Linked DNA regions of Astyanax mexicanus. The protein of the gene in region 3 purifies or fractionates together with the protein of the main gene of each other region. This does not show direct contact. Links are inferred from orthologs where the notes say so. Each region holds a gene or a part of one and is shown on either strand. Other genes may lie near its edges. The genes, in order: map3k1, lamtor3 and map2k1.

The links.
Region 1: the proteins of map2k1 (region 3) and map3k1 purify together in Homo sapiens (affinity purification with western blotting; 3 studies listed by BioGRID and IntAct, with this or other methods). This does not show direct contact. The link is inferred for Astyanax mexicanus from reciprocal best matches to the Homo sapiens genes MAP2K1 and MAP3K1.
Region 2: the proteins of map2k1 (region 3) and lamtor3 purify together in Homo sapiens (affinity purification with western blotting; 3 studies listed by BioGRID, with this or other methods). This does not show direct contact. The link is inferred for Astyanax mexicanus from reciprocal best matches to the Homo sapiens genes MAP2K1 and LAMTOR3.

What each region holds. Positions count from the first base shown.
Region 1 is NC_064427.1:27,156,014-27,163,507, forward strand, and holds the start of map3k1 (mitogen-activated protein kinase kinase kinase 1), read right to left. Parts: upstream 3,013-7,494; 5' UTR 2,969-3,012; coding exon 2,460-2,968; intron 1-2,459. UniProt on the Homo sapiens protein: Component of a protein kinase signal transduction cascade. Activates the ERK and JNK kinase pathways by phosphorylation of MAP2K1 and MAP2K4. May phosphorylate the MAPK8/JNK1 kinase.
Region 2 is NC_064414.1:25,420,773-25,427,977, reverse strand, and holds the start of lamtor3 (ragulator complex protein LAMTOR3), read left to right. Parts: upstream 1-4,151; 5' UTR 4,152-4,287; intron 4,288-4,566; 5' UTR 4,567-4,608; coding exon 4,609-4,617; intron 4,618-4,741; coding exon 4,742-4,776; intron 4,777-6,070; coding exon 6,071-6,129; intron 6,130-6,228; coding exon 6,229-6,362; intron 6,363-6,491; coding exon 6,492-6,555; intron 6,556-7,205. Other genes in the region: rrh (visual pigment-like receptor peropsin), read right to left, coding at 1,281-1,404. UniProt on the Homo sapiens protein: As part of the Ragulator complex it is involved in amino acid sensing and activation of mTORC1, a signaling complex promoting cell growth in response to growth factors, energy levels, and amino acids.
Region 3 is NC_064416.1:23,842,490-23,850,464, forward strand, and holds the start of map2k1 (dual specificity mitogen-activated protein kinase kinase 1), read left to right. Parts: upstream 1-4,879; 5' UTR 4,880-5,181; coding exon 5,182-5,264; intron 5,265-7,975. UniProt on the Homo sapiens protein: Dual specificity protein kinase which acts as an essential component of the MAP kinase signal transduction pathway.

The DNA.
Region 1 (7,494 bases), on a different chromosome or scaffold from region 3:
CATCAATGTTTACCATCAGCTTTTCCTTTTAAGGGAAAAAGCCAGCAGGGGGGCAATCATTTAGGCAACCTTGAGTAAACAAGCTCCCAACAGTGAAAATAAGGTGCCTGCATCACTTTGTGTTGTGCTGAAGTGGATAACAATTAAAGATGGGGGGAAAAAAAACACTGATCAAACCACAAATCTCATTTTTGTGGCTTTTTTTATGGCTTGGCATTGTGAATGAGAATATTCTTTATTAAAATAGATATGTGGTCCAGGACTAGGTTCAATTCCTGTCTAGGAAACAACCCAAGGTCATATTAAGGCAAGTTTGTTTATGGGAAAAGTGACAGAGTACATATACACATGGTCTGGAGAAGTGTTGGGTTTAGTTTAAGAGCCATTGTGTAGGCTGTGCCAGAGTTAATATTGTCTTAAGCACTCCTGCTGGATCACCTGGGCAATTCTAATAGGGCAATATATATTTATCATATTCAATGTAACTTAATGGACGTAAAAAGCAGACCTCCAGCCACGACAGAGTAATACACAGGCCTATACTTACAGCAGTAAAACGATTCCTGAATTAAATGCAACATTGGAGTGCCTACCAAAGCTGAACCACGAAACACCGAAATCGCTGCTAATGTAAATCAAAGCCGTCCAGTCTGATAAATTAAAGGCTTTTAATGCTTAAACACATAAATGCATGTTTGGATGATATTATCCTCATCTTTGTGGTTTAATATTGGGAGACAGATCAGAAAGATTTAAAGCTGTTCACCCCTCACATCAAAAACTGCGCAACTCTACTAAGCTGATAACATCTGGGGGCCCACCTCAGCAGGTGGGCGACACGGATTTAGTGATTCTGATTGGAGCAGGATGCTCAGCAAAAAACAACCCAGTTTTATGGTACAAAATAAAAACTGAAAAAGAGAAAAGTATAACACCCAACCACGTCAATACAACCCATGCAGCAAATACAATATGTAAAAGAAATGCAGATCAATAATGCTCCATAATATGCATATGAGTAGTATTCTAATAAATAGGTCTAATTTCATATGATGGGAAAACAGCATTAGTTCTGCAATAAATTATGCTATGGATTAATAATTAATAGGACACTTTGGATGAGCATCAAACCGAACATAAAAACAAATGAGATGCAGCTAGATAAATATGAATATTATAATCACAATATTTGCTGTGATATTTTGACACAGACAAAAATACATGAGGCAGATTCTCAGCAACTGCTTTTGAAAATTGTTATCCTAAATCAAAACGTGCTGTACCCAAACCAATTAAACAGTACTGATCTGACAAACACTGATGATAGTTTGTCAATATTGTAATTCAAGCAGTCTTTTATTGACTGTTAAGCTTAAAGGGTACTTTTTGTATAACTGCACTTAGTATTTTGGTACAGTTTTTTGGCTACATTACATTATTTTTATGTTAAAATTTATTTATGCATTTATTTATATACATTTATTTTGTTGGAGTAGTATTTTGTAGTATCAAAAAATATTGTTATCACAAAAACAGAAATATTGTGATATTAGTTTAGGGTGATACATCACACACCCCAAATCACGGTGCAATAAGAGAGGATTTGTAATTAAAACTCTGTACCAACACTTATATCACAGCTATATCTACAGGATGCTCAGAAAAGTACACAGTGATGAAAGATCAATATCGTCTAGGCCTGCCACGATAAGTACATTATCGACTTATTGTACAACAAATGGAAATTAACATATGTTTATTTAGCTGTTTATTTGTATGTTTGTTCACATATATAAAATGAACAGTATTTTAGACAGGCATGATATACAAGACCAATGCTTCCATAACTACAACTCCATACACACAGTGTGGGCAGGCTGCAGAAGGTGAAGAAAAAAAGTATATACAGGTCTGGAGAAAAATAAGAGACAACTTAAATCATAAGTTTCTTTGATTTTACCAAATTGAAAAGGAATTAAGAAGAAGATGGATGATCACAAGCCAAACTAAAGTGGTCTCTTTTCCATTTTTTCCAGAGCTGCATTTTTAATAAACTATAATTAATTTAATTTCTGCCAACTTAGAAAAAGTGTGTAATTGCTTTAAATTTTGATTTATGGTTATGTCTGCAGTATTAAATGTTCTTAAATGGCAAATATATAAAATAAGGCAAAAGTTTCTGGGACGATATATCGTCCACATAATAATCTTATCGTGACAGGACTAATATCGATCACATATCATACAGATTGTTCAGCCCCAGTTTCGAACTCAGAGTCTGACTTCAGTAGAACAACGAGCTGGAGTTTCTGAGAACTTCTTAGAGCTACTTTACAGTTTATACAAGTTTTACAGACACATTATCCAGGTGAATCGCAGCGGCAGAGAGACAGTACTGGAGTAAAAAATCTCCTTATCAGCCCCAAAAATGCTCATTATCAGCCTTGAATCTTTCTTACCTCTGCTGGTTCAGTTCTCCTGGAGCTCCGGCTGCAGCATTATCAGCGCAGAGTTGGTCGCTGCTGCTTCTGAAAGAAGTTTTAAGCAATTCCTGCGCGGCTGCGGCCAGACTGCCGCCGCTGCTCTGCTTATCGAGGAGCGGGTGTTCAGTCAGGGAGCTGCTGCTGCTGTGCTGGACGCGGTGGCTCTGCTGCAGGAGAGTCGCCTGCACTGCGCCGGGAGAGGACGCGGATAAGAAGTGGAGCTGCGCCGCCGCGGCTGAGGGAGCTGCCCCGCTCTCGGAAGCCAGCAGCAGCGACTCGGACCCGTCCAGATCCACGCTCCGCACTTTCCGCAGTTCTTTACGTCTCCATTGCGAACTCTCCGCCGCGCTTCGCTTCGCCTTGCCGGCGGCACCGCTCGGGAGACCGGGCACGCTGGAGCTTCCACGCGGAGAGTTCCCCGCGTCTAAACCGCCGCTCGAGTCCAACGGTCCTGACGACGAGGTCCGGCTCCCCGCCGTCGCCATTTTCTGTGCTGAATTTTGCCACTTAATAGGTTTGTGTGGTGAGTGAGTGGAGAGAGGGGAGGGGGGGCACGCGGGAAGCGGGGCGGAGCGAGGGCAGGCACTCCGCTCTGTTTACATAGTGATGGAGAGTTCGATTCATCCGAGCGAACCGACTCCTCAGAGTGAATCGAATCACTCCAACTCACCTGCAACTAAACTGACAGGAGCAGGTTCACTTATATTTAACGAACCGATTCCCAACAATTGCCCAGTTTACAAAGTAAACTTCTAATGCTGACCATACACTATATGGCTTTGAAAAGACTCTGAAAAGACTTGTTACTATTTGCAAGGCTGCAACTAGCTTTTTAAATTTTATTTATATATATACTTTTATTATTTTGTACTTTTCCACGGAAACCGTGTCCCTATCACTATCATTGTAAGGCTGTTGGAAATGCTGTGGGTGACGAAGGAGGGCTATTGATTTTTTTTCTCCCTTTTTCCTTCTCTCTCTATATTAATATATGTCCTCCCTTAAGAATAATGCATTGTTGCAGAGTGAAATAAAGTGAGAGGGGTGGTGGCGGGCCAAAAAAAAATTTAAAAATAGTATTCGTTATCACATTTCACTACACCCCAAGTCCATTTCACACCGGATTTCTACTTTAAACAAACAAACAAACCATATTAATAATAACAACAATAATAATAATAATAATAATAATAATAATAATTATTATTATTAAAGTCAATTTTTGATGACTACTTTTTGATTATGTTTTTTGATTATTATTATTTTTTGACTCAATTACAATTTACAAAGCAATACATAAAAACTATCATTCTATAAAAAAAAACATTAAATGTACCACCACTATTGACTTCTGTTTTATTTATTAACTTTTAAACAAACATGTTTTCCAATTTTAGTATTATTGTCTAACTACACTATATACTGTAGATACCATGTGATCTTCATTTAAAATGCAATAAAACTAGTGTAGTGTAACATATAAGACAATGTGGATGTTATACCCCAAAAATAAAAAATAAAAATAATTATGCAAAAGCTGCTGATAAAAGTTTAATATATGAATATTTTGTCATATGATATAATTTAAAAATGTCTTTTTGGTGTATGGGGTTGTATATCATTATTTAGATATTTTTGTAAGTTTTTGAAGTGATTAATGCTTTTTGTTGAAGAATTATTTTAAGCTTTTCGTATAGAACAGGACTTGTGTGTATGTTATGGTTAAAGTTTGCTTGATTTGGGAGTTAGTTCGACTGATTTAGGTAAAAGAATCGTTTAAAAAGATTCGTTCAGAGTCGGATCAGCGTGAGAACTATCACATTCTCACGCGGAGCGTTCATTCAACACGGGGACTGTCATTGACTTAACACTACTGAATAGTTAGCAGCACTGCCTTTAAATTCACCAGCTCCTTTATTTCACTCAAATATTTCACTTACAGTTTATTTATATTGTTGAGTAATTAATGTTCATCTAAAAGGTTTTCATTGTTTGGGCCTTTTCTACACTTAAATCTCCATTACAAGAACACAGTTAAGGCCATAAGAATATAATACAAAGAAGATATGCAGTATATATTTAATGTGAGTTAAGTTTCATACAAACAATACTAAATTAAACAATACTTATTTTTTAAGAAGTTTTTACACAGCACTAAGAATAACGTCAGATTGGCAAAAATTGATAAAAATTGTATATCAAATCATGGCACCTGCAGTGAATTGAATCTCAGGTTTGTGTTACACTATAAGTTTCTCTCTGCCAAACTTTTATTCACAAATGCCTCCAGCAAGGCATCTTCACTTAAGAAAAAAGTTAAAAAGAGCTGCATTGGAGCTTGTGTTACTGGGCGGCCAGCAAAAACAATTTCCTTTTAATTTAATGTAAGTAAAGTTTAACACAAATAATATTAAATTTAATCAAATTGAAGTCAACATCAAATTAATGTATTATAATAATTAAATTCTGATGTCGGAGATCAACATTGTTTTCATGTTAGAAATGAAAAAATGTCATTCAATAAAATGTTGCTATCTGGTTTGGGTTATTAAAGAAGATTTAGAAGTAAAATCTATTAACAAAATATGCTATATAATCTTTGCATGTAATTTGAAATAGGTTTGTGTGACTTTTATTATGGATTTATCTGTATCTATAAAAAATCCTACTTTTAAAACCCTTTAAGCTAGCTCTCACTGGTGTGAATGTGGCTGCTTGACATTGGACGGTAAAGCTAATATGGGTAAATTCATAACATCACATCATGGCTGTTTGAAAAGTGAAGCTAATGCCTTCATATCAAAATAACATCATAGTTAATTATTTCCTTTTACCTCATAACAGCTGAGAAATTATTGGCTGTGTGTCTGTGTGTGGTTCATTGTGTGCCGGTTTTCTGGGCCAGTCGGTGGCCTGGGAAGAGTGATGGCTTTGTGAACCTACAAATTACATGTTCTTCTGAATAAATCTGTCTTTTGTGTTGTTTCCGTCTTCCAGGTTATGTAAGGGCCTTTAGTGCCCCAGAAACAAACCAGATTTTAGCATCTGAAAGGAATTAACCTATTTTATTAGTGGACAAATGAGGGATTACGTATCACAGTTTTATTATAAAAAGATAATTCATTAAGCTCTGTTTTCTCTTAGGGGACCAGCACAGTATATGAACAAAATGAGCCAAGATATTATTTTAGTAGTAATCTGATTTTAGCCAGTTTGATAGGGGAACTATACCAGTTTCTAAAATCTCTTTGGAATTAAATGACAAATGAAGACAAAGTTATTCTAAGAGGTTTGGGGTAAAATGTCTCTTTATAGAGAAAGTTGTCCACAGATGTCTGCAGAGTTTAATGCTTCTACATTTACGGCATTTTGCTGACGCTGTCATCCAGTGTGACTTACAAGGTTATTTCTATTACAGAAGTGGGTCAATGTAGCATTAGTAGTCTGCCCCAAGACTCTTATTAGTGTAGAGCAGTATATGAATTGAACCCCAGTCTCCCACATAATGTAGTAGCTCACTGACAGGGGGTGGTGTTATCCACTGCACCACACCATCCACATAGCTTCTAAAAGTTAGATAACAGAAAGTTATAATTTGAAATGATCAGGGATATAATAGCAGCTGTCTGCAATGTGCTTTTTACATTGTTTTTATTTTCCACAGAGATTAAAACCTAGTCATAGACTTTCTTTTTCTTTCACTGGTAAATCTCCACTGGAAATGGCTGTGTAGTCTAAGACTAGGTTTTAGAATAATACTTTTTTTTTGGGAAAACTGTCCCAAAATGTGCTATGTGAAATATTACTATCTATTAAAATTTTATAACAAACTTACTTTTCCTAAAAACCCTTTTTACATTATGTAATAATCTTGTATCTCCAAAATATGAACTTTCAAGAATAGTCAGCGTAAAAGAATCTGAGCCCAACTCTGTTTGGAGCATTTCTTTTGACCCATTCAGTATAATTTTTTCACCCAGCATTAAGAATAATGTCAGGTTGGCAGGTTATGACAAAAAGTGAAAAATTGGCAAACATTGGAGATATTGTTTTGACAATATAAAATTTTGGCACCTGCAGTCACTTCAGTCTCAGTCTCAGTTTTTCTCAGGCGTACTTTTATCCTTAAATGTCCAGCGAGGCATCTCCACTTTGTTTTCCAGAGCTGGTAAAGTTAAAAAGAGCTGCATTGGAGCTTTAGGTACTGGGCGGCCAGCAAAAACCATTTCCTGTCAACGTGGATCCAATCTATCACTGAGAGCTATTCTTAGCCAGTAGGGCTTCCTCTGCAGCTCCTGCATTTCCTGCTCACGTGGAACGCTCCACAAACTATTTGTGCTCTCTCTTCTGTCATCTCAGCTCGCCTCAGCTCTTCAGCTCAGCGCCGTCCACTTTTAACTTCAGCTGAGTTCAGAGCTTTTGTGGAATCACGTCAATTGAAGTAGGCAAGTTTACATTAAATGCTGGAGTGGGTTCAAAACGAATATTCAGCACGGATCAGTGATTCTATTTTCTATAATTATACAACAGTGTCTTATTTTTCTTTTGAACTGTTTTCACAAGTACTTTTTGAGAAACCAGAGCATTCAGACTGAGACGCATCTGTACAGATCTGATTGTAATCACATTTCAGACCTCCTTTAGATTTAAGATTTGCTTAAATTAAGATTCAATATGTTTTTTTTTTTTTGCTGTCCAGACTATCAAAAATCTATCTCGATACAGTCTAGATCAGGGGTCTCAAAGTAGCGGCCCGCGGGCCACATGCGGCCCGCGACGCGGTTTCATACGGCCCCTCACGGGTTAACAAAATAAACATACATCTGGCCCGCAATTCAATGTAATTATTTATGCTTTATTATGTTCGTTTTCATATTTTATCTTAACTTGTATTTTGGTGTGTGTGCGTGTTTTTTTTTTTTTTTTTTTGCTTACGCTGCGTTGCCTGCTTTAGTAGTCTTCAGTAGCCTTCAACAGTCTAACCTTGCAGCCGTGGTGTGTCCACTAAACT
Region 2 (7,205 bases), on a different chromosome or scaffold from region 3:
AAAAGTATGTGGATCGAGGAATGTTAAATGACCACATCATTTCAGAAGTGGAATGTCCGATTTATATGGTACTCACTATTAGGTCTCATTTGAAAATTCAGGTCGCCTTGCCATGATCAGATGAGATAACACCTCACCACTCATACAGGTGTGGCTGTCCCATGAGGTAACATATCATGATCAATTTACCTATTGCTATCCCAATACTTTTGACATGGCATTATTAATCTGTAGATATTTTTGACTATCAAAAACTGTTATATTCTTTGGACAAACTATAAATGATTTAGAAATAATTCAATAGCTACTAATAACACAAATCAGTTACTTTATGCTGCTTCCAGACTGAGCAAAGTTGTAAGTGGATCAATAAGGAGTGTAAATGACGAGAGAAAGAAACTAAAATAAAAGCCTACTTACAGACTCTAAATATTTATATACAGTAGAATTTAGAAGACTTACATATAAAAAACAGTACACCAGACCCAAAAATGCCCCACACATTAATTCTGTTGCTGTTTCTTGCAGTTTTTGCTCATTCTAACACATAGTAAAAGTAATACAGATTTCTTTTGTTTTTGCTTTTTGGTCAAACTGATATTTTTCCGATTACCCAACAAACTATAATATCAGACAAACATGACCTGAGTAAATATAAAAGCACTTTTTAAATAATCATTTTATTTATTTAAAAAAAAACTATCCAAACTAATCTAGCCCTGTGTGAAGTAAGTATTTGCCCCTAAACCTAATAACGTGGTTATGCGCCCTTGGCTGCAACAACTGCAATTAGGCTCTACTGATAAATGGCAATAAGTCCTTCTTCAGTTTTTCTGAATTTTGGCCCATATTTCTTTACTGAATTGTTTTAATCAGCCACATCGGAGGATTTTCGAGCATGAACAGCCTGTTTAAGATTATGCTAATCAGACTTTGACTAGGCCACACCAAAACCTTCATATTGCTTTTTTGAAAGCCATTTAGAGGTGGACTTGTTTGTTTACTTTGGATCATTGTCCTGCTGCAGATCCCAAGTACGTTTGAGCTTGAGGTCACGAACAGATGGCCGGACATTCTCCTTCAGGATTGTGTGGTAATAAATGGAATCAATATTTTAGATTTACTCAGGTTATATTTGTCTGATATTAAAGTTTGTTTTGTCGTCTGAAAAATTTTAAGTATTGTATTGTAAGTAATGTTAGTAACCACTGCACGTGAAATATTACACACACATGAAAATACACAAATAAATACGAAAGGTTTACATAATTACTATTTACATGCAGTAATGAGGTATCCAGCGACGATGTTGTGCTCCGTTTGCGAGAAGGCACTTTTTCCACCATAGTTAACAGCCTCGGACGATGAGTTTAGCATTTCATGCCCCATTTCTTTCTCACACATATCCACACAAAACAAGCTCTGTGTCCCTCTGACATTCACTAGAGTCCGGCCTAAAACACACAGCACACAGCGGCATAGAGCAGCCTATCCCGTGCACAGCCCTTCCTCCTGCACTTGCAAAAAGAGAGAGTTTAGGAAACTCTGTGTATATGAGAGAGAGAGAGAGAGAGAGAGAGAGAGAGAGACAGAGAGAGACAGAGAGAGAGAGAGAACATGGGGGGCATGTTAAGTAGGCAGAGGTTTTGGGGGTTTATGCATTGTTAATATTGGTGGAGTGACTGTGGTCAGCTAGGTGAAGTTGAGGGGAGGATTAGGCTTTGCCTGGTTTGTGAACACTAAGGAACTCATTGTTTCAGGCATAATCCTCGCATGAGGGCTTTTCATTCTTAAAACATCAGATCGGCAGAGAGAGAGTGAACAACAAGATTCCAGCCTGAATGGAGAAAACTGTATAGTCTATATAGCTGTGAATATCACAAACAACAACACCACAAAACAATATTGACAGCTATAGAGCTACACAAAACAGTATACCACAAGTCTAAACTCTCTAAACAAATTTTTCAAGTCTTTCACAGACGTGGTGGTTTTAACAGTGTGAGAAAATGTTGCAGATTAGTCTTAAAGAGCTCACATCCAGTAAAACTTTCTGTGCCTTTGTTAATAATGTATAGCCTATAAAGAGCCCTGCGACAAGAGGGTGTAAAATTGCTTTCTTCCATGCCCTATAAAAAGGTTCTCAGTGGCTACATTTGGGTAATGTACCTCTTGGTGAGAGATAGCTGACTGCTAGAAAGGCCTCTGTAACACATTCAAATACATTTTGCACAACTGATATCCTTTGAGAAGGGATGCATCATTAGACTAAAATAATTGTGTAGATTAAATGCCCACCATTTAGGCCAATGCTTAGCCAGCCACCAATGCCTTTGTTTACAGTTGTTTTGTAAAAAAGGAGACCTCGACTGCTTAAGACTGGAACCATCTTTAGCAACAAATCCAGGTTTTGTTTAGGATCTGATGACAGTCAGACTCTTGATGAATCTGTACACCTCTATATCCAACCTTACTTGTTTTTGTATCATCTGTAAAGGCGGTCCAGATGGGTACTTGGGCATTCTGTCAATTGTAGTTTCCTACTATTAAATTACCCTTTTGCTCTAATATTAAAATAATTTACAAAATTACATTTACACATTAAAAATTTCATTCAGTTTCTAACAACTCTGCAGGAGAGTTTTTTTTCTGTTAGCGTTTAAGTTGTAAAATGAGCGTATAAAAATTTGTTAGACCAATTTTGGTACATAAAAACGCAAAAACGCAATGAATACGACCACTAAAACCACTGTGAAGATTGAAATACAAATTTTACAATAACCAATTTTGATCCTCTTAATGAACTTTGGCTCACTATTAAAAACTTCCAGAGTGGTTTATAATAAGAGAATTCATGATATTATGAAGATCTCATGTGATTAATGTGCATTTATTTATGATTGTTTCCCTTATGTTATTATAATGTTTTATCTCTAATTTTTTACAAAAAAATAAATCTGTCTGCCCATTATTTGTCATATTTCACTTAATTTTTAGAAAAGGGGAGCTGTCTTAATGCCAGCACAACAGAATAAATTCTATCTCTCTCTCCCCCCCTCTCTACCGTATTTTACTCCTCTTTCCCGCCGTCCTCCCGTATTAGTATTTTCCCGTAAATTTCCCGTATTTCATTAACATAAAAAAATATATATTATTGAGGATACAGGGCACTGGCCGCTCTGTGTCTCTTAACCAATCGTGGAGCCGGTTCAAGGAGAAAGTCCCGCCTTTCAGGAGAAACAGCCAATCAGCTTGCAAGGAGGGTCAGTGTGGGGAAGCCCCGCCCTCCTCGCTGTGAGTTCAGGCAGCTAGTTGGAGCTGCTGATGTTAAAACATACATGCAGCGATTTTTCTAAAAGAAAGGTAACGGTTGTCTAATCATGGAAACTGTGATGAGATTTTTCTGATAGCTGCTTAAAAATACTCCGAAATAAAACACACAGATTAAACCTTTTAAAATAAAAAAAATTACAGCTTGTGACTCAGTTTAACTAGAAATGTGGAGAGGACCGACATTAACTGAACTAATCAGGGGTGGAGTGATCAAAAGGAAGAAGTATTAATTAAAAATTATTGTGTAGGCCCCTTAGGACTAATTTTTACTGATGGAACATATCTGGTCCATGTCCTTTTAGTAAAAGCTCATAATACCATTTTTAGGTCACCAACAGTCATTTTGCAGAATTTGTGCACTCTTTGTTCAATTTTAAATCCATTAAATAAATAAAAAATATATCATATAAAAGAGTGCATTTATTACAAAAAAGACATGAAATCTTAAATAAAAAAAGATATAGAAAAGGGTTTTTAATTTGGCTGTATTAAAAGAATGACATATGTAGGAATGTCCACAACATGTTCAGATTCTGATAATCTAATTGTAGTGTGTAAGTGGTTCACATGTGGTTATTTTAGATTTTTTGTAAACATGTTTTAAAATGTAAGAGATACTGAACCTTCATTGGGCTGGTGGGACGGCTTTAAGCGGACAGAGGAAAATATCCCTTATTTTTAAATCTAAAACTTGACAGGTATGCTCTACCCCCTCTCTCCCCGTTCTCTCTCTCGGTCTCTCTCTCTCCAGCCCTCTCTCTCTCTCTCTCTCTCTCTCACACACTCTCTATGTCGCTATTATATGTACTATCCACTAGGGGGAAATCTGAGCTCACGGAGTGAACAGAGGCAGGTCGCAGGAAGGGAAGTGACGCTCAGGAAGGTGTACACAGTCTGGGTCATGTGATTAAAACTCTAAACAAGACACGGAGCCTCAGATCGGTGTGAATAAAGGTGAAGCTCTCAGACCCGTTTTAACCATTTACTTTAATACAGAAACATTTATTAACCTGTACGACTAACTGCGGAGCTGAACAAAGTTAGGGAAGTGCCCACAGCAGCAGCTAGCTTAGCTAAATACCTTAATTAACTCCAGTTAGCGCTATTAGCTGTCTAACCCACAGGAGCTGCTCTGTGTGATATTTGTTTTATTTCAGTTTTCTGTCAGTGTGGTATCAGTTAGCTAAGCTGTATTCCTGTACAGTTGTGTTACTGCTGAGCGTGTTGTTACAGGGATCACCGCGAGAAGGCTACTGGTAGCCAGCAATCTCCATCATGGCAGATGTGAGTGTTAAAATCAGTTCCTCATCTGATACTGTGTGTCTGAGGTCTAAACTAAACATAGGATTCTTATATGTAAAGTAATTTAGATAACGTTAACGTTAACATATCTGATTTATAATTGCAGGATTTGAAGAGATATTTATACAAGCAATTGCCAACGTGAGTACAGTTTTTTTCCAGATTGAACAAACTAAAATATCGTTACTGTCACGCAAATAAACTCAAGTTTTCACTCTGACATGAATCTGAATCTGACAGTTGGTTTAATCGGTGTTTCCGAATTTCATTATTAACAATAAGAGTGTGTTTTGGCAAGAAGTTGGAAATACAGGGGATACAATAAATGGATGTACTGTAAACTAGATAATACACCTCCTGTCAAAAGTTTGGACACACCTTTTCTCCTTCAGTGTGTTTTCTTTCTTTTTTTTTTCTTTTTTACATTGTAAATAAAATGTTTAAAGACCGAATCAAAGCTACACAGGAACACATGCAGAAATATTTTGCAAACAATAAAGTAAAAAAAAAAAAAAAAAAAGCAGAATATGTTTTATACGTATATGACAGATTTGCACTCTCTTGGTATTTTAATCTCAGTGGCGAGTCACCTGGAATAGTTTTTTGTTTACTAAATAGTTCCACATGTGTCCTGTATTTGTTTGCATGTTTTAATATGAATCTACAAGGTGGAAAAAAAAGTTAAGAAAAGAAATAAAGTAAAACATTAATTGAGAAGGTATGTCCAAACTTCTAACTGCTATTGTATATTATAAAAAAAGTATATATATATATATATGTATATATATATATATATATATATATTTGTTTTTGCTAATATTCAATCAGAACAGTGGAATCTAATAAAACATTATAGTACTGTTATCTAGATGGTGGGGTTTAAGCACAAGACTAAATTAACCATTGTCTGCCACCAATCTTTGTATCTACACTAATAATTAAAATTCAATACTTTGTTTTAGAAAATATCACAATACTGCAATATATAGAGTATTTTCTTACACCCCCAATGAACAGATCAATATTAATTTTCAAAAACTTGGAATAAACTTACAAAATACATATAAAAAATGTATTATGTTAATTCTATAGAAAGGATTTTTTTCCTCCAGATATTTGATGTTAATATTGAGTTTTGGTCTGACAGTAATGATATGTAGATTCTCAACATTTGTTTTTTTTTAAACTATTTTTAATGAGATTTTAAAGTTTAGTGGTAGAAAAATTTTTTATAGACCTATAACATTTAATTAAGTTAATAAAATGTTCCCTTTATAAGTATTTTTACAAGTATACCTTCTAAACTGAGGGGAAAATGTAAAAAAATGAGCAAATGGTTTGTCTCTAAATATTGTTCCACCATAAAACTTTGATGACACCATGTTTAAGTGCAGGTACACTATAATGTATGCAATAACTTTTTGTTTCTGATCAGGGTTGAGGGCCTCCATGCAATAGTAGTAACAGACAGAGATGGAGTTCCAGTAATCAAAGGTAATTAGTTTCAATAATGCTTTGTTAATAATGCTGAATATAGTGTCAAACTGCTGCTTGCATTAGGTCTGTAATAATTGTAGGTGTTCATCCTTTAAGTTGCCAATGACAATGCTCCGGAGTACGCTCTGCGGCCAGGCTTTCTCTCCACCTTTGCCCTGGCCACAGATCAGGGCAGCAAGCTGGGGCTGTCCAAAAACAAGAGCATCATCTGCTACTATAACACATATCAGGTATTCTGCTCCAAATACTTAACGTTGGGTTTCATTTGAAGTTCTTAATCTGTTTTTAAGATGCTAGTTGTTACTGGGTTGCTTAGTGATGTTTTAATTTTGTGTTTTCTTTTTTGTGTTTGTTTTTAGATTGTGCAGTTTAACCGATTACCCTTAGTGATCAGCTTCATTGCAAGTAGTAGTGCTAACACAGGTGAGTGTCTGTCAGAGGTGATCTTTAATGCTTATGACTTGTGAAGGAAATTCTAATTCTGAAGATGAAGATGTGACTTAAACAAGAGCTTTGTTGGCTGTTCATTGTTTTATGTAGCCTACAATACACACATGAACCAGAACATTCTGACCACATGCCAAATATGCTGTTGGGACACTTCATGGTGTCTGTGGAATCCGGCACCAGGATGTTAGTGTTATTCTGTAAGTCATGTGAATTGCAGGGTGGTGCCATGGCAGATTGGGGTTATTCCAGCTCATCCCACAAAAGCAAAAATCCTTCCACATTCTTCAGTTCTTGCAGGCTCTTTTAAAGAATTCTATACTTTATAAGCTTTATAAAAGCAAGAAATGTAATCATTTTAGCCTTGGGATTACTTAATATCAGGGCTGCACAATAAATATTGTTTCAGCATCTGTATTACAATGTAGGAATAGTTAGAGTTCACAGTGTATAATGTAATGAAACACAACGTTTTTGCTATTTGGAACAAGAGGAAAATTCACACTGTTCTGATATCCCATGAAATGTCAATGAAAGACAGATTGTCGTGCATAGCATTTGTTCGTTAATTGTGTCTTTCGTATTGTGAAGATGCAAAAAAAAAAAAAAAAAAAAAAACCTCATTG
Region 3 (7,975 bases):
CCTGTGCAACAGAGGTAACTCCTGGCTTTTTTTTTTGATGCATTGCTGACACAGATGTGCAAACACACATGTATCAGTGAAAAGGAGCGGTGCATTTGGGTGCACTTTGAGAACTAGTGGACACAGATATCTGATTTTCAAGTAAATATCACTACCCAGACTATCACTAAAATAGTATATGTATATAAAACAATATTAGCTATAGTATTGAAAGAATGACCTCTGTAAACGTACCTCAGAATGTATTACAGTCATTTACCCACCATGGGCAATACAGGTAGGGGCTTTATATTCCCTGTTTTCGAACTACACAAAGCTGATACACTAGCCTTGTAAGAAGAGATATCAAGTCAAAATTCAACCCACAGAGATCACTGATGCAATATCAAATGCTGTGCTAAAACCAATAAAATGTAGCTATGTAGCGTTACATAAAGGTTCTTTGCATTCAACAGTACAATAAATATATAATTGAATCTCAACCACCTAGGGATGTATGATCATGTCTAAATGATATCAATCATTATCAACAAACACATTTTCAAAAATGTATCTGCATCTCTATTTTATAAATATTTATGCATCAGAATCAATTAGTATCTGCACTAGCACCTGTGTGTCAAAGTGTGTATAGGAGAAGCATAATCCTTCTTAAGCCACATTGTTTCTGCACTTATTGACTATGAAAATCTTTTTTGCATGCAATGATTGACACTTAAAGGGAAAATCAGAATAAAAAGTAGGCCTAGTGATGCTTCTGTATTGATTTTTTTCCTCTATGCTACAGTAGAAATCACCCAGTAATCTGTAAACCACCTCTCAAATAAGGGGGTTATTATTTATTTACATACACTGATCAAGCATAACTTTAACACCACCTGTCTAATACTGTGTAGGTCATGCTTCTGGCACCAGAACACCTATGACCAGTAAAGGACTCCACAAGGCCTATGAGGATGTCCTGTGGTATCTGGTACCCAGATATTAGCAGGAGATCATTTAAATCCAGTTTAAATCCAGCTGCAAGGTTAGACCTCCATAGATCACATCAGTCTTATGCAATCAAGACTCTGTTACCAGTTCATTGAATGACCTTCCTATAAGCACTTGTCTGTACTGTTGTGGAAATACTCTTGCCCATCCATCTGGCCATCATAATTTCCATCTTGTCAAGGTTGCTGAGATACTTCAATTTCAAGAACTGATGGTTCACTTGCTATCTAATACAGGGTTTCTCAACCTGTGGGCAGAGGACAACCAGTGGGCTATGAAACACTCTCTAGTGGCCTGCAGGTCTATACTCAGGGGGAGACAGTAGTTCTTAGTAAGCCAGTGACAGCAATTTTAATCATAAAAAGTATTTTTTGGATAAAATCATTTAGTATACATATAAAACCAAGAGCCATAAGGAACATTAAACATCATTAATTTGAGGCAGTGTGTGAACCTGATTTAGACATGATTTTTTTTTTTACATGATAAAAAATATGTTTTCTTGTGTGTCGTTATGCCATAACATTATTACCAGATAGTCCACTCTTAGAAAAGGTCTAATATAAACTGATATGCCAAATATCATGGCATACCAGTATGTAAATTGATCACAATGTGTTACCTCATTTAGCAGCTTGGGAACACCTACACCTGTATAAGTTGTGAGGTGTTATCTGAGAAGTAAAGTTAAACCCCGCCAGCATGCTCATGGCAAGGTGATGTGAATTATATATTCACATCTGAGGGAACTCTGATAACGATGTGTGTACCAGGAATATGTCATAAGAGGCATTCTCACCCACAGTGGACAGCGCAGTGGTGGTAATGATTGTGACCCGCAGTGTCTGGCTATAATTTTCCAAGTGAACAACTAAGGCTAACATCCATCACATCCACATTCAATGCAGGAGGCTGAATACATACAGTATATTCCATACATCCGTGCAGCATTCTTTAGTTCCTACTGAACATGACAAAACACATGGAACACAGCATTTGTTCCTGTCCCATGACATATGGTTCATCTTTTGTAAGGTGCCACTGTAAGCAGATAATCATATAATTGTATTCACTTCACCAGTCAGTGCTTTTAACGTTATTAAGCCTATTAGTCTATCTGCAAATGCAGATCCTGATACCTTAATTGACCTTTCAATTGAACAACATAACCATGGCATTTGATTGGTCAGTGTCCAAATACAGATAAATGAGGATAAAGCATTGTTGGGCTGCTTTGAGGAAACAATGAGTAAAAAGGCCTATTATCTATTCTTCCACTTAACATGTGATGAATAAATGCAAGCAAATGCTGTGCCATACTGCCAACGTGCGTGCCAGGGCCTTGCACATCCATAAAAAAAGCTTCATTATGCACATCTGCTGCACAAACCTGCCTGCACAACACCGCCAATGCAGAAACACTGATCCAATCCTGAACTTCCTTTAAAACATCGCTCACTCAGACAAGAACAAGAGCTACCTTTCATAAAACACAGGCTCATATTAGTCTATAAACAACATGTGTTTGCTCACATGATGCATCATTAATCTGACAGCATCTCATTTGTATAAGATCAGATGCATCTCAGTGGGATAGTGCTTGTGTCTGTCTATGCAAATCCAGCAATTATCCAACTCTGCTCCCAGTGGCACCATGCGGTGGGGGGTTCTCACAATCTGCTGAGTAAACCTTTCTCCTCTGTAGGACTGTCCAGCAACTTTTAACTGATATATTAAACTTGCACCAGTACTGACACTGCAGTGATATAGTGTTGCTTTATGTGAATCATTTCAGACAGCTAGCATCTCTTTTAGGCCTACCATCATATGTGAACAGAGTTTTTCAGTGATTAATGACTTTGAGCTGGCATTTATAAGAAATGCCGTTCCACATGACACCCGCAGAAGTTGTATGAAACCATCGCACAGGTGATCCAACTACTTAGTGGGTCCCGTCGGTAGGAGTCATGTTTGTGTATGTGACTGCCATAGACATCAGTACATTTAACTCACCACTGATGCCATCACAGGATTGTCACACAAGCAGCTGCCTTTTGCTGCTTTAAGCAGGAATCGAACCCACAACCTACTGGTTCAGAGTCCCCAGCCTTACACACTATGCCACCAGAAACATGTGAGAGAAGCACCAGTAGAACAGCAGGCCATTAAACACCCTATTAACACATACTTAAGTATGTAGAGATGGAATTCTCATTAGCATCAATGAAGAGATATTTATTATACAGTAAATGCCTTCTTTAAAATACTTCTGAAATGATAGATACAAACTCTGTAAGCTGATAGGTGTGACCTGGTATAGATAGTTAAATATAATTATTTGTGTAATTTGTCCCAAACATTAAAGGAATGGTTCACAAAGAAATCTAATTTACATAACTTTCTGTTTATAGTACCAGTCAAAAGTTTAGATACGCCTTCTCTCTCAAAGTTTTGCTTTATTTCTGTTTTTTTTTTGTTGTTTTTGTTTTTTTCTACATTGTAGATTAGAATTAAATGCAGGACAATAATTAAGGGACACAAATAAAGTTACACAGTTAAGAAAAAAGTGTTTGGCCTCCACAATCCTCTGATCTAAACCAACTGAGATGGGAGATTTAGTTGAGCTGGACCACAGTGTGAGACAAAAACAGCAGAATCTAAAGTACAGAACATTCTCTGGTTTGTTTTCCATGTTTTTGTGTTTTAAGTTACTGTATAGCTTTAATTTCTTTAATATGAGATTTAAAATGTAAAAAAAAAAAATAAGAAAACACATTAAATGAGAAGAATTGTGTTTAAATTTTTGACTGAAACTGTACATCATAGTTAATCAGCCATAAGGTGTATGAAGATTGCTTCTTTATACAACATTCTTCTTATTTTTTCATCACTGGAACATCATTTAGGTCTAAAATGATTAAAATGTGCAGGATGTTTTTGGGGAAAATTGCCCAAAATGATTTTTTATTTATACATAAATTATACATGTGATGCAAATCACAATAAAGTCTCCTGTAATTGTATATTTTTTACTGGACTTTACATTACTATTGAAATCCTTTAGAACTACTAAGAATAAGAAATGTCTAAAAACTGTAATATTTTCTGAGGAGCTTTTTAAAGTTTTTTTAGTTCTTTATCTTTAGGATTCTTTCTTTCTTTCTTTTTTCTTTCTTTCTTTCTTTCTTTCTTTTCTCTCTAATGCACATTTTCATGCTGTATTCTATTGTGGTTTCTTTGTATTAACTTGAAACTGTAAAGAATATTAATCCTTTCAGACACTGCATCAATTGCAATGGACATGGTGTGCTTTCTTTTTTCTTGTGTATTCTATTATCCTATTAATCTTCAGGATATACATTTATTAGCCAATCAAACAGCAGACTGCATTGGAATACTAAAATTCTGCCAACTGAAGTAAAGCAGGGTAGCATCCCAGCTAACGTGGCAGAGAAAACACAGTTGCTGCAATTTTTTACAGTTTAGAAATATACACACATCCACAATATCTACACACATTTGAATATATATATATATATATATATATATATATATATATATATATATATATATAAACGATATATATATATATATATATATATATAAACGATATAAAATACAAATATTATGTTTGATACATATTATATATTAGTTTATTATTTAGTGTATTGTTATTTTTAATTGAATCCTGTTTTTGAGTGCATAGCATTCTTTTATTTTTTTATCACTAGGTCTAAAAGGGTTAAAAAAAACCCAAAAGTTAAAAAGGAGATATTTGTGCTAGTTTTTTCTTCCAGCAGGTGGAGACATTGCCCAGCATTAAGCCACGCTCTCCGGAAGACAGATGTAAATATTTTCGTGACGCAACCAGCCCATCTCCACAGTCATATATCCACCCATATCAGTGCGGTATTGGTGTATATTGTGTTTCTGTCTGTACAGGGGGCTGAGCAGTGCTGTGCTAGTCGCCGAGGAGAGCGCGTGCCTGTTTTAATAGTCTACTTTATTTATCTCGTGTTGTCGTGTTTGTGTGCATTTTTCTCAGACAGCCACTGGGTGTGATTAGCTGTATATATACCCTATGCATCAGACCGCTCTCTCTACAGCAGCACGCGGGTATTTCTGCGGATCAGCCTTCTTCCCTTGATTTATTTCTGATTGCTAAACTGCAAGACATCAAGAGTCGTAATGCAGAAACGAAGGAAGCCAGAACCGATCCAGCTCAACCCAATTCCTGATGGGAACGCCGTTAACGGAACCGGTGCCTCGGAGTGAGTATGGTCTGGTCTGGTTCAGAAGCTTAACCCTAACAGGAAAACCAACTAAATGATGCTCCTTCAGTAAGATACATGGTTTAATACTATAATTACTGGGGATGACACTGGCTGATCATCAGGCTGTGTTATACAATACAGTGGTATTCTGTGTAGTGGAAAAGGAACAATACTGTTTCATACTCTTCTGTTTTGATCATAGGCTCATATTGTTTTTCTCTTTTTAAAAAAGTTATAAAAGGTTTTATAATAATGCTTATTTCCTCTGAGAAAGTGTAAATACAGTGTATATTTAAAAGCCTTGCAAGCTAGACAGCTAGGCTTTAAGGACACTAGGACAGTGTTATGAAAACACTTTCATTGTTATATTCTTTTACTAAAAGGCCTGCCAATGCAGTACTGTTTTAGACTGTGTACCTGGCACTTTAAAAATGACAATTTAAAAATGGTGCATCAAACTGCAGTAAACAAACGAGACAACATAAGCAATGGGTATTTTAAAGTGAATTAATGAAAGTTCAGGTTAGCTCAGAGTTAGAGTATCAGAAATGCTTGTTGGCACACAAATAGGAACTATTTCTTTCTTTGTTCATGTGTTTACAATGACAGCCACACATAATTGCATCAGTATTTACAGACACTTTCAAAATACACAGTAGTTATTGTGATACTCATAATTGCAGACAATGACTAAAAATCAGTAATTGCAGAATCTTAAAAAAAACATGATTTTAAATTTTCTCAAATGCGTTTTACAACCACTAAGGATATCCTCAATATACTCTATATTGTGAAAGTACATAATGTATAAGGATAAAAAGAAAGAATACACACAACTTGGTGACTGTCTGGCAAATAAAACTAGGAGTGAATAGGAGAAAGGGATGAGAAACAAACAACAAATAAACAAGTGCTTCCGTTCTGTTGGATATGATATATGGTGAAACCCTAGGAGTGAAATAATAGTAAGACGAAGAATAAAACTGTAAATAAGGTTATATATACAGATAATATATACAGTGTTGAACCAATGCACACAGTGCTCATTCATGTCCAAATAGACTTAAGAGCAAATTGATTGGGAATAAGTTGTTGTTGTTGCATAATTTTACTAAGAATCAGATGACATCCCTAAAAACAGAAGGGGGAGGTTTGCTCTCCACACAGAGAGCCCTTATCACAGTGGGCCAGAGTGGCCAACACACAGTAATGATTCCTCCATCAAATAACCTGTCCAGTCTTTCTCGCCCCCTCACAGCCATAAGTTAGGTAAACAGATTTTGTTTCTAGTTGTTTCCATGTGAGCGTGACTGTGTGTAGTGATAGGAAAGCACGGCTCAATCTATCATTAGGTAATATGAGGGCAGAGGATGTCCAGAACCTTAGGAACCCAAGTCTTAAGAACTCCGGGAACAAATGGAGAGGCTGATCGGTTTTGACAGCATGCTCCACTTCTTGAAGCTTGAGTGCAATCGTCTCATTTCACGTTGTTAAGCAATCACGGTGGATCATTTACAGCAGCAGCAGCTATCACCATTAACAAACAAAGCCCTGCTCCCAGTGCCCGGTGCTGGCCTCTTTGTTTAGAGGCTGTCTGGAGATGCTGAGGGCTGCCGTGTCTGTCTGCAGCTTCATGTGGCAGGCCTGTGGTCCTGTTCCTCTCTCTCTCTCTCTGAGCCAAGAGCCAATCACAGCGCTGGCGGCCTGGACTCAGTGGTCCGTGTCATTGCCTCTTGTTTCACCGGCGCTCCGGGGCCCAGACACTTCTCTTTCACTCTTATGCTTTGGCCTTGAGAGACCATTACTGATTCAGAGGTGCGGGAAGAGGTACAGAGGCGTTCTATTTTACACATGGCACTGCATTGATTCAAGCCTCTTTTCAAAGTGTTGGAAATGATTGTGTAGGAGGACATAATGTTTCAGCTGACTTTATTTTCTCCTACTGCAGTACAGTATGTTCACAGATTGTAGACTAGTGGTTACAGGTTACACAATCAGGTTATGCCAGTTCTTTTGGCAACTCAAAATATATTTAGTGAAAGTTTTGCACAATTCAGTTATAAAGACGTCATCATATGAGCCATTCAGAGAGGTAGATTATATACTTTATCCTTTTCCACACTCTTCTTCAGTGGTCAGGACCCAGTCCCACAGGACCACCACAAAGCAGTGGTCATTTGGGTGGTGGGTCATTCTTAGCACTGTAGTGACACTGACATGGTGCTGGTATGAGTGGATAAGGCACAGTTGTGCTGCTGGGCTGAAAATAGTCAATATTCCACAAATATCCAACCAAGAGTGTCTTGTGGGCCGTTAAGAAGGACTGTTTTTACACAGTGATAAAAACTTCCAGCAGCACTGACGGTGCTGAACTGCTCTTCTACTATAACAACAGACTGCTTGGGTTGCCTACAGAGCTATAAGTCTAATAGTAAAAAAGCTTTATTTATTTATATGATATATCAGGTTCTTAAAGAGCTCTTCCCCTTGTAACTCAGTGGAAGGGGTCCAATTAGAAAAGGGATTGGGCCAAAGGGTTTGCTCTTCTCTGTACCTGAGGAACACTGTCTAAGTTCAAAATCCCCAAAGAGACAACACACTTTCTGCTGGCTTTAAGTGAAGTATTAGCATCTTTATATGAAACAGTAGGGACTCTGAATGGTGTAGGTGACTTAGGGACAATTTATAGTAGCTGTGATCCTCATGCC